Linked DNA regions of Canis lupus familiaris. The protein of the gene in region 3 purifies or fractionates together with the protein of the main gene of each other region. This does not show direct contact. Links are inferred from orthologs where the notes say so. Each region holds a gene or a part of one and is shown on either strand. Other genes may lie near its edges. The genes, in order: EEF1G, EEF1B2 and VARS1.

The links.
Region 1: the proteins of VARS1 (region 3) and EEF1G purify together in Homo sapiens (affinity purification with mass spectrometry; 6 studies listed by BioGRID and IntAct, counting the BioPlex papers as one, with this or other methods). This does not show direct contact. The link is inferred for Canis lupus familiaris from reciprocal best matches to the Homo sapiens genes VARS1 and EEF1G.
Region 2: the proteins of VARS1 (region 3) and EEF1B2 fractionate together in Homo sapiens (co-fractionation; 3 studies listed by BioGRID, with this or other methods). This does not show direct contact. The link is inferred for Canis lupus familiaris from reciprocal best matches to the Homo sapiens genes VARS1 and EEF1B2.

The regions. Positions count from the first base shown.
Region 1 is NC_049239.1:54,591,050-54,594,264, reverse strand, and holds the end of EEF1G (elongation factor 1-gamma), read right to left. Parts: intron 1,449-3,215; coding exon 1,276-1,448; intron 1,174-1,275; coding exon 1,049-1,173; intron 812-1,048; coding exon 653-811; 3' UTR 565-652; downstream 1-564. UniProt on the Homo sapiens protein: Probably plays a role in anchoring the complex to other cellular components.
Region 2 is NC_049258.1:14,570,653-14,574,398, forward strand, and holds the start of EEF1B2 (elongation factor 1-beta), read left to right. Parts: upstream 1-1,440; 5' UTR 1,441-1,568; intron 1,569-1,803; 5' UTR 1,804-1,872; coding exon 1,873-1,952; intron 1,953-2,330; coding exon 2,331-2,453; intron 2,454-3,088; coding exon 3,089-3,215; intron 3,216-3,331; exon of another isoform or gene 3,332-3,409; intron 3,410-3,488; coding exon 3,489-3,555; intron 3,556-3,700; exon of another isoform or gene 3,701-3,746. UniProt on the Homo sapiens protein: Catalytic subunit of the guanine nucleotide exchange factor (GEF) (eEF1B subcomplex) of the eukaryotic elongation factor 1 complex (eEF1).
Region 3 is NC_049233.1:1,392,442-1,396,187, reverse strand, and holds the end of VARS1 (valine--tRNA ligase), read left to right. Parts: coding exon 1-105; intron 106-383; coding exon 384-488; intron 489-569; coding exon 570-638; intron 639-725; coding exon 726-804; intron 805-928; coding exon 929-1,056; intron 1,057-1,433; coding exon 1,434-1,589; intron 1,590-1,731; coding exon 1,732-1,938; intron 1,939-2,010; coding exon 2,011-2,122; intron 2,123-2,254; coding exon 2,255-2,580; intron 2,581-3,539; coding exon 3,540-3,608; downstream 3,609-3,746. UniProt on the Homo sapiens protein: Catalyzes the attachment of valine to tRNA(Val).

The DNA.
Region 1 (3,215 bases), on a different chromosome or scaffold from region 3:
GCAAGGCCCATTTAGATTCTGGGCTCCAGTGAGTTCCCACTGGGTTCAAAATCCTGTCACCACAAGTTAAGTCCCTTAAATCTCTGAACCCCACTTCCTTGTGAGAAAGCAGAAATCCCCCAGAAATGATCCGCAGCCAAGTTAGGGCCCACAGGCCAGTGCCCGTTCTAGGTAGTAGGCTGGTACTGTGCCTGGTACTCCTGCTTATCTGAACTTTCTACCCAGACCCTTGATGCTACCTACCTCCCAGGGCAATCTGAGAAACACCATGAAGTTCCTCCACACACAGTGTGCTACCATACTTTAGCAACCTGGTCCTGCAGACTCAGGTAGTTACAAAGCTCTGTGTCACCAACCACCCGAACTGCACCCAGTCTTTCTCAGCTAGGCTAGAAGACAGCCATCACCGTACAGGCAGAGCATATAAAGTCGAAAATGAGGCCTCTGTTTCTGCTCTTCTGAAGACTTCTTTTTCCTGCAAAGGGAGGTATGCAAACCTAGAAAACACCCTGCTTCAACACTCCCCTTTGAAGAAGCCATCACTTAAAAAGGAGGCGGGACAGGTTAAGGGTTCAATGTTCAGTTTCCTTTAATGACCCCCATCTCCCTGAAGGGCAGGTACAGGCAGCTAGGCGATGATGACAAGAGATGTTTACTTGAAGATCTTGCCCTGATTGAAGGTTTTGCCCACATGCTGGAAGGCCCCCTCCCAGGAAAAGTACTCTCGAACCAGCGTCTGGGTCTCCTCGCTGCCAGGATCCAGTTTCCGCCACGTATAGGACTCGTAGTCCACCTGCCAATCTGGACTCAGCTGGGGAGAAAAAGCCAGGTTAAGAAGCGTGTGGTCCAATCAGATCCTGCCCCACACCTGTTACTTCCAGCTCAGCCACATGTCATCAGATCCTAAAACGCCTGTGACTGTGACAGTTCCTCCTGTACACATTCCTTGAACTCTCCTGAATGCCCATAAGCACAAGAATGAGAGTGTGCTTCCCATCTCCTTGCCCCACCCTAAAGAGAGCAACTCCTCCCCTACTCCTTTCCTCACCGGAAAGGCAAGCTCCTGGCCTCGGAAGACCCAGACTCCAGAAATGGAGCTGCTGTTGTTGGTTCCAAAGAGGATGACACTGGCAAAGGCATTCTTCCTCAGCTTGTCCAACCGTTGGAACATTCCTGACAGGGCCAAGGGAGAACAGAATCACAGTGGGTACAGCCTTCAGAATCACAGCACCCACTGCCTTGGCCTCCCCCTCCCTCAGCCCACCCTCTTCTCACCAGTGATGAGGTTACAACTCATAAAGGTCTGAGTGAGCTCCTCAGGGAAGCGGTACTCAGCGTACCACAGGGACCAGCCATCCTTATCGAAGTGCTCCCAGAAATACGGCAGTGCCACAGTGAGAGTGTCCTCATTGGAGTACTTGCGCTTAAATTCGTCCAACACAAAGGTACTGAATGGAGAAAAAAAGGCAAGATCGATGAGAAGAAGGTCCTACTGAGGCAACAAAGAGTCGCCAGGCTAAGAGAAGCTAAGGACGAATTTCACTTAAAATGTACTGGTTTAAAGGAAGAGCTCACTGGACTGGCAGATGGGTACAAGCTTGTAACAGAAGAAAGCTAAGGGCGTAGGAAGAAGGGCCTAGGCCACTCCTCTGCTCTCTCTCTGCAGTCTTAAGTAGGCTAAGCTCGAAGACAGTGGGACACCACACACACACACACACACACACACACACACACACACACACCCCCAGGGCCTGAGGGAGACCTGACCCAGGAAAAACACAGCAAACTGCTGCCCCCTGGTGGAAACCCAGAATGAGCGCTCATCCTTCCTGGCTAGCCCCTAGCCCCCTGGCTCCCTCCAGGGCCCTTTCCCACTGAGTCACAGTCCCTGATTCACCCAAGTATCTTCCCCTACCACAGGCCTCTTCGGGTTACACACACTACAATATGACAATGGAAGCAGCAAATGTTCTCAAAGAACCTCCGCCCCAGACTTTATACGGGTGGCCTTGAGTCACTGTGCCCAGGAACAAGCCCAGATGCTGAAAAGCCCTTAGGTTCAGCTGATCTTTGAGGCAACCTGGCACACTACACTGAGAAGGCTCAGCTATAGAGTTCCTCCCCTCATGGTAGGGGTTCTCTTTTTTTCTTTCCAGTTATAAAACCACATGCTGACTGAAGAAAATCATCTGCAATGCCAGTAAACAGAATTAATGTTTATGTACTTCCCGCTGGTGACTTCCCAAAGATGATGTATATAATTTTGTGCCTTATACAATTTGTTCATTTAACACTGTCCCCCTATCAGGGATTTTTTTTTTTTTTTTATTCATTTGAGAGAGATCACGAGCACCCAAGCACCCAAGTTAAAGCATAAGCAGGGGTGAAAGTCAGAGGAGGAGAAGCAGACTCTCCACTGAGCAGGAACCCCGATGTGGGGCTGGATCCCAGAACCCCAAGATCACAACCTGAGAAGGCAGACACTTGACCAACTGAGCCACCCAGGCACGCCTTACAAATGTTTTAATGGCTACATAATCCTCTACTGTAAAATGTGCCATAAACCTATTTAAGAAAACCCTAAGGATGCCTGGATGGCTCAGTGGTTGAGCCTTTGCCTTTGGCTCAGGTTGCAATACCAGAGTCCCAGGATCAAGTCCCACATCAGGCTCCCCACAGAGAGCCTGCTTCTCCCTCTGCCTATGTCTCTGCCTCTCTATGTGTCTCTCATGAATAAATAAATAAAATCTTTGGGGAAAAAAAAATTGGGATGCCTGGGTGGCTCAGTGCTTGAGCGTCTGCCTTCAGCTCAGGGCGTGATCCTGGAGTCCCTCGATTGAGTTCTACATTGGACTCCACTTGGGAGAGTCTGCTTCTTCCTCTGCCTGTGTTTCTGCCTCTCTCTCTCTGTCTCTCATGAATAAATAAAAGCCCTCGGGATCCCTGGGTGGTGCAGTGGTTTAGCGCCTGCCTTTGGCCCAGGGCATGATCCTGGAGACCCGGGATCAAATCCCACGTCAGGCTCCCAGTGCATGGAGCCCGCTTCTCCCTCTGCCTGTGTCTCTGCCTCTCTCTCTCTCTCACTGTGTGCCTATCATAAATAAAAAAAAAATAATAAAAAAAAAAAAAGCCCTCACTAAAAGTTTAATTGGACCAATTACTCATTAGTGTAAATGATGCTAACAAACCCTAGAGTTAGAAACCATTCCTTTCCC
Region 2 (3,746 bases), on a different chromosome or scaffold from region 3:
AAAATACCATCAAATAATCTTACCACCAAGTTCCAAAATGAGTACCATCCGCCTTACTAAATTCTGTCGATGATATAAAGGTAAATCTGAGTTTGCTGAATCAGAGTAATGACAAACTGAAAATCAACAATCAACATTTCATACAACAATGTAAACACTTTATTATTTTGTCTCCAATACAGGAAAAAGGTATTGCCCACTTTAGTTAGGAAATCAACCAGAATTAGGTTGTCTCTTGAAAATCCAGCATCAAACGGAAGAGTGCATTACCCCAATAGATGACAGTTTTCCAAAACTTTCCTTCATCAGCCCATCTTAAATTTCCTAACCTACTCCCCAGGCATATCATCCATTTTATTCTTCTTCGTGGACTCATTTCTAATTTATAACAGACGTAAAATAACTGTCTGCTATAGGAGTTATATCTCAAATCTCTGCCAGAAATTTTCCTGAAAAAGCGCAGGCCTCTGACAGCCTTATAACACCCTGCACCATGCCATTGGGCGGGGTGGGGGGGGTGGGGGTGGGGGAGAGAACGTTCCCTAACGAAACAACTTGGATGTTTATTCATCAGAAACAGTTCACATTTTCAATGCTCTCCAATCATTCTGGAGCACAGCCGGGCCTAATCCACGCTCTTACGGTACATGTTAGAGCCCCACACGGCTGAACAACGTAGCTAGGTCATCTGCAGTGCGACCTTGGGCAAAGGTTTTAAATACCATTTTCCTCAGTTTAACCCACCAGGGAAAGGAATAAAAAAATAACTCAATGGACAAAAATGAAAACACAACAACAACAAAAATCCCCAGACGCATGGACGGCTGCTAAGGCAACGCCGGCCAACGTCTGGATTATGTGTGTTAACTTGGGAAACCGCTGCCTTGAGGCCTAAGTCACTTGACAGAGTCCTCTCCCGGGAACGTCCTGCGTCTCCCTTGCAGAAGGAAGGTCACTCCCACGCCTGCCTCCGCGCCCGCGGTCCCAGGGCCCCCAGGCTCCCCACCTGCCTTCCGCCCCAAGAGACCGGAGACCGCGGCCAACGGCGCTCACCTGCCGGCCCCGGGGGTCCCGGAGGAGGCGGGCTGGGACGCGGCGCCCAGTCAAGGGCAAGAGGAGGAGGAGTCGCCTGGCCTACAAGAAACCGTCTCGTCAAGAAGTCCACTCCTGTGGCAAGGGCCACCTCAGCCTTCTCCCGCAACCACGACCTCACCTTCTCGGCGGAGCCGCCAAAGCCGCTCTGCAGAACCGCCGCACCTTCCCAGCCCCCTCAGAGGCCCGATTGCTTATTCAACATGGCGTCCTCGGCAAACCTCGCCCGCCGGCCCTGGAGAACGGGAAGCCAGGAGGGACCAGAAACCTCAGATTCGAGAATTTCCCGCTTAGCGCGAGTTCGGCAATTTCCGGCAGCCGGACCGGGGGGCGGGGCGGAGGCGGGAGGCGGGAGGCGGGAGAGACGGTTGGGAACCGCAGTTCCGCCGGAAGTGGTCGGGCGCCTGAGGCCGAGCGTCTTCGGTCACCTCCGGCGCTTCGAGGGGCGGTTCCTGTAGTGTGCCGGAGCCGCGGAGGTACTAGTTTAAGGAATACTCTTTTTATTAGCTTATTTCTAAACACAAAGAAAGGCCGCTGGATAATTTGTGCGCCGTTCAATGCGGAGCTTCCGAGTTTTACGTGGAGGAATGAGGCTGTTAGAGGACGTTGACCCTTAACCTTTGACCCCGTGCGGCAGAAGGAAACGCCTCCGTCTCTATATAAGGCGTTTTCCGGCCTTTTGCGGCCCTTTTTTCCTCTCCCCCCTCTTAGCGCTGGGCGCCGGGTGCCTCCCCTCTTCTCTTCCTTCGCTGCCGCCCGGTTCTTGGAGCCGCCGACGCTATGGGTTTCGGAGACCTGAAAAGCCCCGCCGGCCTCCAGGTGCTCAACGACTACCTAGCGGACAAGAGCTACATCGAGGGGTGAGGACGGGCCCGGGCTGGAGCCGGGCTGGGCCGGCCACGTGGCGCGGCCTCGGGCGCAGCTGGGGGCCGAGGGCTTCCAAGGGCGCCTTCTTTGCGTTGACTGGATTCAGCCACCTTTTCCGCGTCTTCGCTCGGCCCGTGGACGTAAGCCCGTAGGTCTCCGTCAGAGATGCGAGCTCTGAGGTCCACGACGTGGCAGGGATTCCTCGGGAGAGGGCGGAAAACCAGACACATGGCCCCCGATCTTGAGTTTAGCGTCGAGAATAAATCACCTTAGGTTGCCCAGTGGCAAATGGGCCAGCTCCCAGCGCTCAGCTTGGTGGCCGTGGCGCTTGGCCCCTCCCCTCAGGGCGTGTGTGACTTGCCTCCCCGCAGGTACGTGCCGTCACAAGCGGATGTGGCAGTGTTTGAAGCAGTCTCCGGCCCCCCGCCTGCCGACTTGTATCATGCCCTGCGTTGGTACAATCACATCAAGTCTTACGAGAAGGAAAAGGCCAGGTAAAGTGACCTGTGTGTTTACCTGAAGGACAGGAGGCTTCCTAAGCTTCAGGTCAGGATCTTTCACGTGACAAAATTGGACCCAGGCTACGTGAGTTTTGTTGGGGTGATGTAAGCTGAACTAGCTCTGTGACTTGAGAAGGCCGAGAGACTGAAGTCCTGCATTTTTTCACAGAACACGTAGAACCTGGACCACAGCAATTCAACTTTTCCCCACACTGCCCTGACACTGTGCCCGGACCCTGACCTGGGGGGCCCGCGTCCGGGGTGAGAGGGGTGGCTCATTGATTCAGTCCTTGGCCATTCTTCTGAAACTGCCAACAAGGGTGGAAGTTTGGGGAAGTGGACTCCAGTTCACTAAGAATGGAACTGAGCATACTTAATCTCAAACAGAAATACTCATACTGAAAGAGTAAATCATAGTGAGTATCGAACGTAATGTCTCACATGCTGCTAATGTTTGTTGGGTGAGGAGTTAAACACACAACAGTATTTACCTGGGAGTGTTTACGGGCAAATTCTTAGTACCTAAGGGCTCTTTGGATAGTGATGGAAACAAGTTCTCGTGTACTGTCTGAGAGTTTACCAGCGTAGTGGTGGTTGAACTTATAAGTTTTGTTTTTTTTTTCCCCAAGCCTTCCAGGAGTGAAGAAAGCTTTGGGCAAGTATGGCCCTGCTAATGTGGAAGACACCACAGGAAGTGGAGCTACAGATAGTAAAGACGATGATGATATTGATCTCTTCGGATCTGATGACGAGGAGGTATGGCATAAGTTGGTGTGTAGATCGATGAGCTTAATCATAGGCTCTGTGGTGAAATTGCCTGGATTTGAATTCTGGTTTCACCCACTTCATGACTTGACTTATAAAAATTCTCACTGGTTATATGATGAATAAAATCAAATCACCATCTTTCGGCTGAGCTCCTGATGGATTTGCTTTTTCTGATAAAACTGGTCTTTGTTGTGATGGATTCACTAGCTTAAAGCTGAGGAACAACTGTCTTTGTGAAACATACTCTATTTTTCTTTATAGGAAAGTGAAGAAGCGAAGAGGCTAAGAGAGGAACGCCTTGCACAGTATGAGTCAAAGAAAGCCAAAAGTAGGTCATTTTTTTAAAATTTGTGCTGCTTTAATTTCATTTCATAATTGAGTAATCTTTTGAAGCTTGATTCCCAAAGTAATTGCCTCCACGTCATTGACTAGTTCAGTATTTAAAAATCTGTATACGTAGTTTTTCATAAAACTTCCACAGCTACTGGTCTGCAGCTGTTCTTACAGTAGCAGTTGTGG
Region 3 (3,746 bases):
TACCCGGGGACGCTGCTGGAGACGGGCCATGACATCCTTTTCTTCTGGGTGGCCAGGATGGTCATGCTTGGCCTGAAGCTCACCGGCAAGCTGCCCTTCAGAGAGGTGTGAAGACTGCCGAACCCGCCCCACAGTCCCTCCCATCCCGTGCCACAGCTGCAGCCGTGGGTGGGCCTCAGCCAGGGCCTCCTCACAGTGATTCTGTGCACTGGCTTTGCAGAGGAGGGAGTGCCTCTGATGCCCACAAAGGTGCTGAGTGCGCTGGTAGGGACCCCGAAGCCCCGAGGTTCAGAATGGGGCCGACTAGATGCAGGCCCTGGGCAGGCACTGGGTCTGGGTGAGGGCATACATTGTCACGGGCCCTCCCTGCTCTTCCTCGCCAGGTCTACCTTCATGCCATCGTGCGAGATGCCCACGGCCGAAAGATGAGCAAGTCTTTAGGCAATGTTATCGACCCCCTGGACGTCATCCATGGAGTCTCCCTGCAGGTGGGGCCGCGCTCTGGGCCAGGCCTGGCAGGGCTATGGGGCTGTGGCCACGACTCCTGACCACTCCCACCTCCTCCTCAGGGCCTCCATGACCAGTTACTGAACAGCAACCTGGACCCCAGTGAGGTGGAGAAGGCTAAAGATGGCCAGGTACTGAGGCTGGGCTCTGGGACTAGAGGGTGGGCCGAGGAGGGTGCGGCCACCTCACGACGCCCCCCCGTTGACTCCTTCCTACAGAAGGCAGACTTTCCGGCAGGCATTCCCGAGTGTGGCACCGACGCCCTCCGGTTTGGACTCTGTGCCTACACGTCCCAGGGTATGGCCTCCAAAACCTCTCATCCAAGTCCTTCCTCCTTCCCTGAGGCCCACCCTTGTCCTTCTACACCCTGGGCACGTGCCAGGAGGGAGATGGGGAGGACTCACCCTTCACTCCCACCCAGGTCGTGACATTAACCTGGATGTGAACCGGATATTGGGGTACCGCCACTTCTGCAACAAGCTCTGGAACGCCACCAAGTTTGCCCTCCGGGGCCTGGGGAAGGGTTTTGTGCCCTCAGCCATCTCTGAGGTGAGGGCCTGGTAGGCGGCGAGGTGGGCAGCACCCGCCCAGGCAGCCACAAGCATGGCCAGTGCTGTGTCAGGATCCTGACCACTGAGTCAGGTGGCCCAGGCCCTGCTTTGGAGGATCCTTCATGTAACTGAAGGGACAGATGGACACAGGTACAGACAGTTACAGTGTAAGCCTGGGGCATTGGGGTCCTCCCTCAAGGAGATGGGGGGGTGCTGTCCTTTCTTTTTCATGTACTTGGCACATGGTGGCTTCAGACCTGGCAGGTTCCTGGGATGTAGAGCTGCCCATGGTTCCTGCCCACCCCCGCCATGGGCTTTTGCCTCCCTGCCCCAGGCGTATGGTACCTCCCAGCTGATAGGCTCTTTCTTCCCAAGCCTGGAGGCCACGAGAGCCTGGTGGACCGCTGGATCCGCAGCCGGCTGACTGAGGCGGTGAGGCTTAGCAACCAAGGCTTCCAGGCCTACGATTTCCCAGCTGTCACCACTGCCCAGTACAGCTTCTGGCTCTATGAGCTCTGTGATGTCTACCTGGTGAGAAGCAGGGTGGGTGTGGGGCGGCACAGCCCTGAGCCTCACTTTGCCAGTGGTTGGCACTGAGACCAGAGCCAGCCTCACAGGCACAGTTGGGGCTGGAGGTAGACGTCCCTGAGGCCTATGTTTCCCGGTCCCCTAGGAGTGCCTGAAGCCCGTGCTGAATGGGATGGACCACGTGGTAGCCGAGTGTGCTCGCCAGACCCTCTACACCTGCCTGGATGTTGGCCTGCGGCTGCTGTCACCCTTCATGCCCTTTGTGACAGAGGAGCTATTCCAGAGGCTGCCCCGGCGGACACTACAAGCACCCCCTAGTCTCTGTGTTACCCCCTATCCGGAGCCCTCAGAGGTAAGGGGTATGGCTGGGAGGGGGCCTCTGGCCTGCCCCCCCAGCCTCCCTCACCACTCCTCCACCCTGCAGTGCTCCTGGAAGGACCCTGAGGCGGAAGCTGCCATGGAACTGGCCCTAAGCATCACACGAGCCGTGCGCTCCCTGCGTGCGGACTACAACCTGACCCGGATCAGGCCTGACTGTGAGCCTCGTATCCTCATGCCTGCCTTGTGCCCCTGTCCCCTCAGCCCACTCTGGGACCATGGTCCTGTGCGGTTGCCTCATGTCCTGTCTCCTTGGGGCCAGATCTCTCACCTTCCTCCCTTCCCCACAGGTTTCCTGGAAGTGGCTGATGAGGCCACAGGCATTCTGGCATCGGCAGTGTCGGCCTACGTGCAGGCGCTGGCCAGCGCGGGTGTGGTGGCTGTCCTGGCCCTGGGGGCTCCTGCACCACAGGGCTGTGCTGTGGCCCTGGCATCTGACCGCTGCTCCGTCCACCTGCAGCTGCAGGGCCTGGTGGACCCGGCCCGGGAACTGGGCAAGCTGCAGGCCAAGCGCAGCGAGGCACAGCGGCAGGCACAGCGTCTACGGGAGCGCCGCGCTGCCTCAGGCTACCCTGTCAAGGTGCCCCTTGAAGTCCAGGAGGCCGACAGAGCCAAAGTATGTGGTGTGGGCGGGCACCCCTTCTCCATTTCCCACACCATGTGCTCCCTCCATCGTCAGACCCCGTCCCGTGGCTGCACTCCACCCAGCCCTGGGCAGTGACCAGGGAGCAGATAGCCCGGACCTCCTGAACCGGTGGGGTTCCCTGAACCGGAGGGGCTCCCTCCTCTTACACAAGGAACAGCTAGGAGCCAGGGCACAGCCCAGGGTCACACCCGCAACGTGAGGACGGAGGCAGACCTAGAATAGGTATCCTGCCTCCCCGCCAGAGCCCTTGCTCCCCATCCCACATGCCAGGGGCTGGTCTGGGGCCCAGTACAATCGGGAAGCCCAGCGGGCTCACCTGGGATCTCCAGGGAGGAGCAGTGGAGTGAACCACATGGACACAGAGAGAAACGAATGGAGGCTGAGTGGTGAAGCCGTAGTGGCTGAGCAGAGCTCTGTCTATCCATTCGCCTGGAAGCCCGCTCAGGGCAGTGGGTATGGCCATTGCCATTTTACAGACGAAAACCCAGTGCCTGCGTAGGAGCCTGCGTCCCTAACTCCTGTGTCCTACTGTCCACCTGGGGGTGGGGGCTACTGGCTGGGGCACAAGGCCTCTGAGGCCCCTTTGTGTTTGGGGACTGAACACTGGCAGAAGGCCAGACCTGAGAGGCCAATGATGCTGGGAGGGAGGGCAGGTGCTGATGGGGGAGGCTGATGAGAATGAGTGGGGGATGGGCTGGCCATGCTCTCACAGTCCCCAGAATACTCACTGTATATGGCCCTCACCCATCTTTCCAACCTGGACCCCCCTGCCATCGTGGGCATTGTGGGTCACTTGTGTGACTCTGGGCTGTGCCCCCATTCCTTTTTTTTTTTTTTTCTTTTTGTGTGCCCCCATTCCTGACATTTGTCTCCTCTCTTGGGCCTGGGTCCTCATCACCCACCACCCCCTCTCCTTGTCCAACCGGCAGCTCCAACAGATAGAAGCAGAGCTCAAGAAGGTGGATGAAGCCATTGCGCTATTCCAGAAGATGCTGTGATACACCCGACTCCTCATGACCCCCAGTGTCCACCATGGGGTGGCAGCAATAAAATATTTTGCCACAAAACCCATGTCTTGTCTTGTGTGATTGGGGCTGGGTGCCTGCACCCCCAAGGGCCGCAGGCTAGGCTAGAGG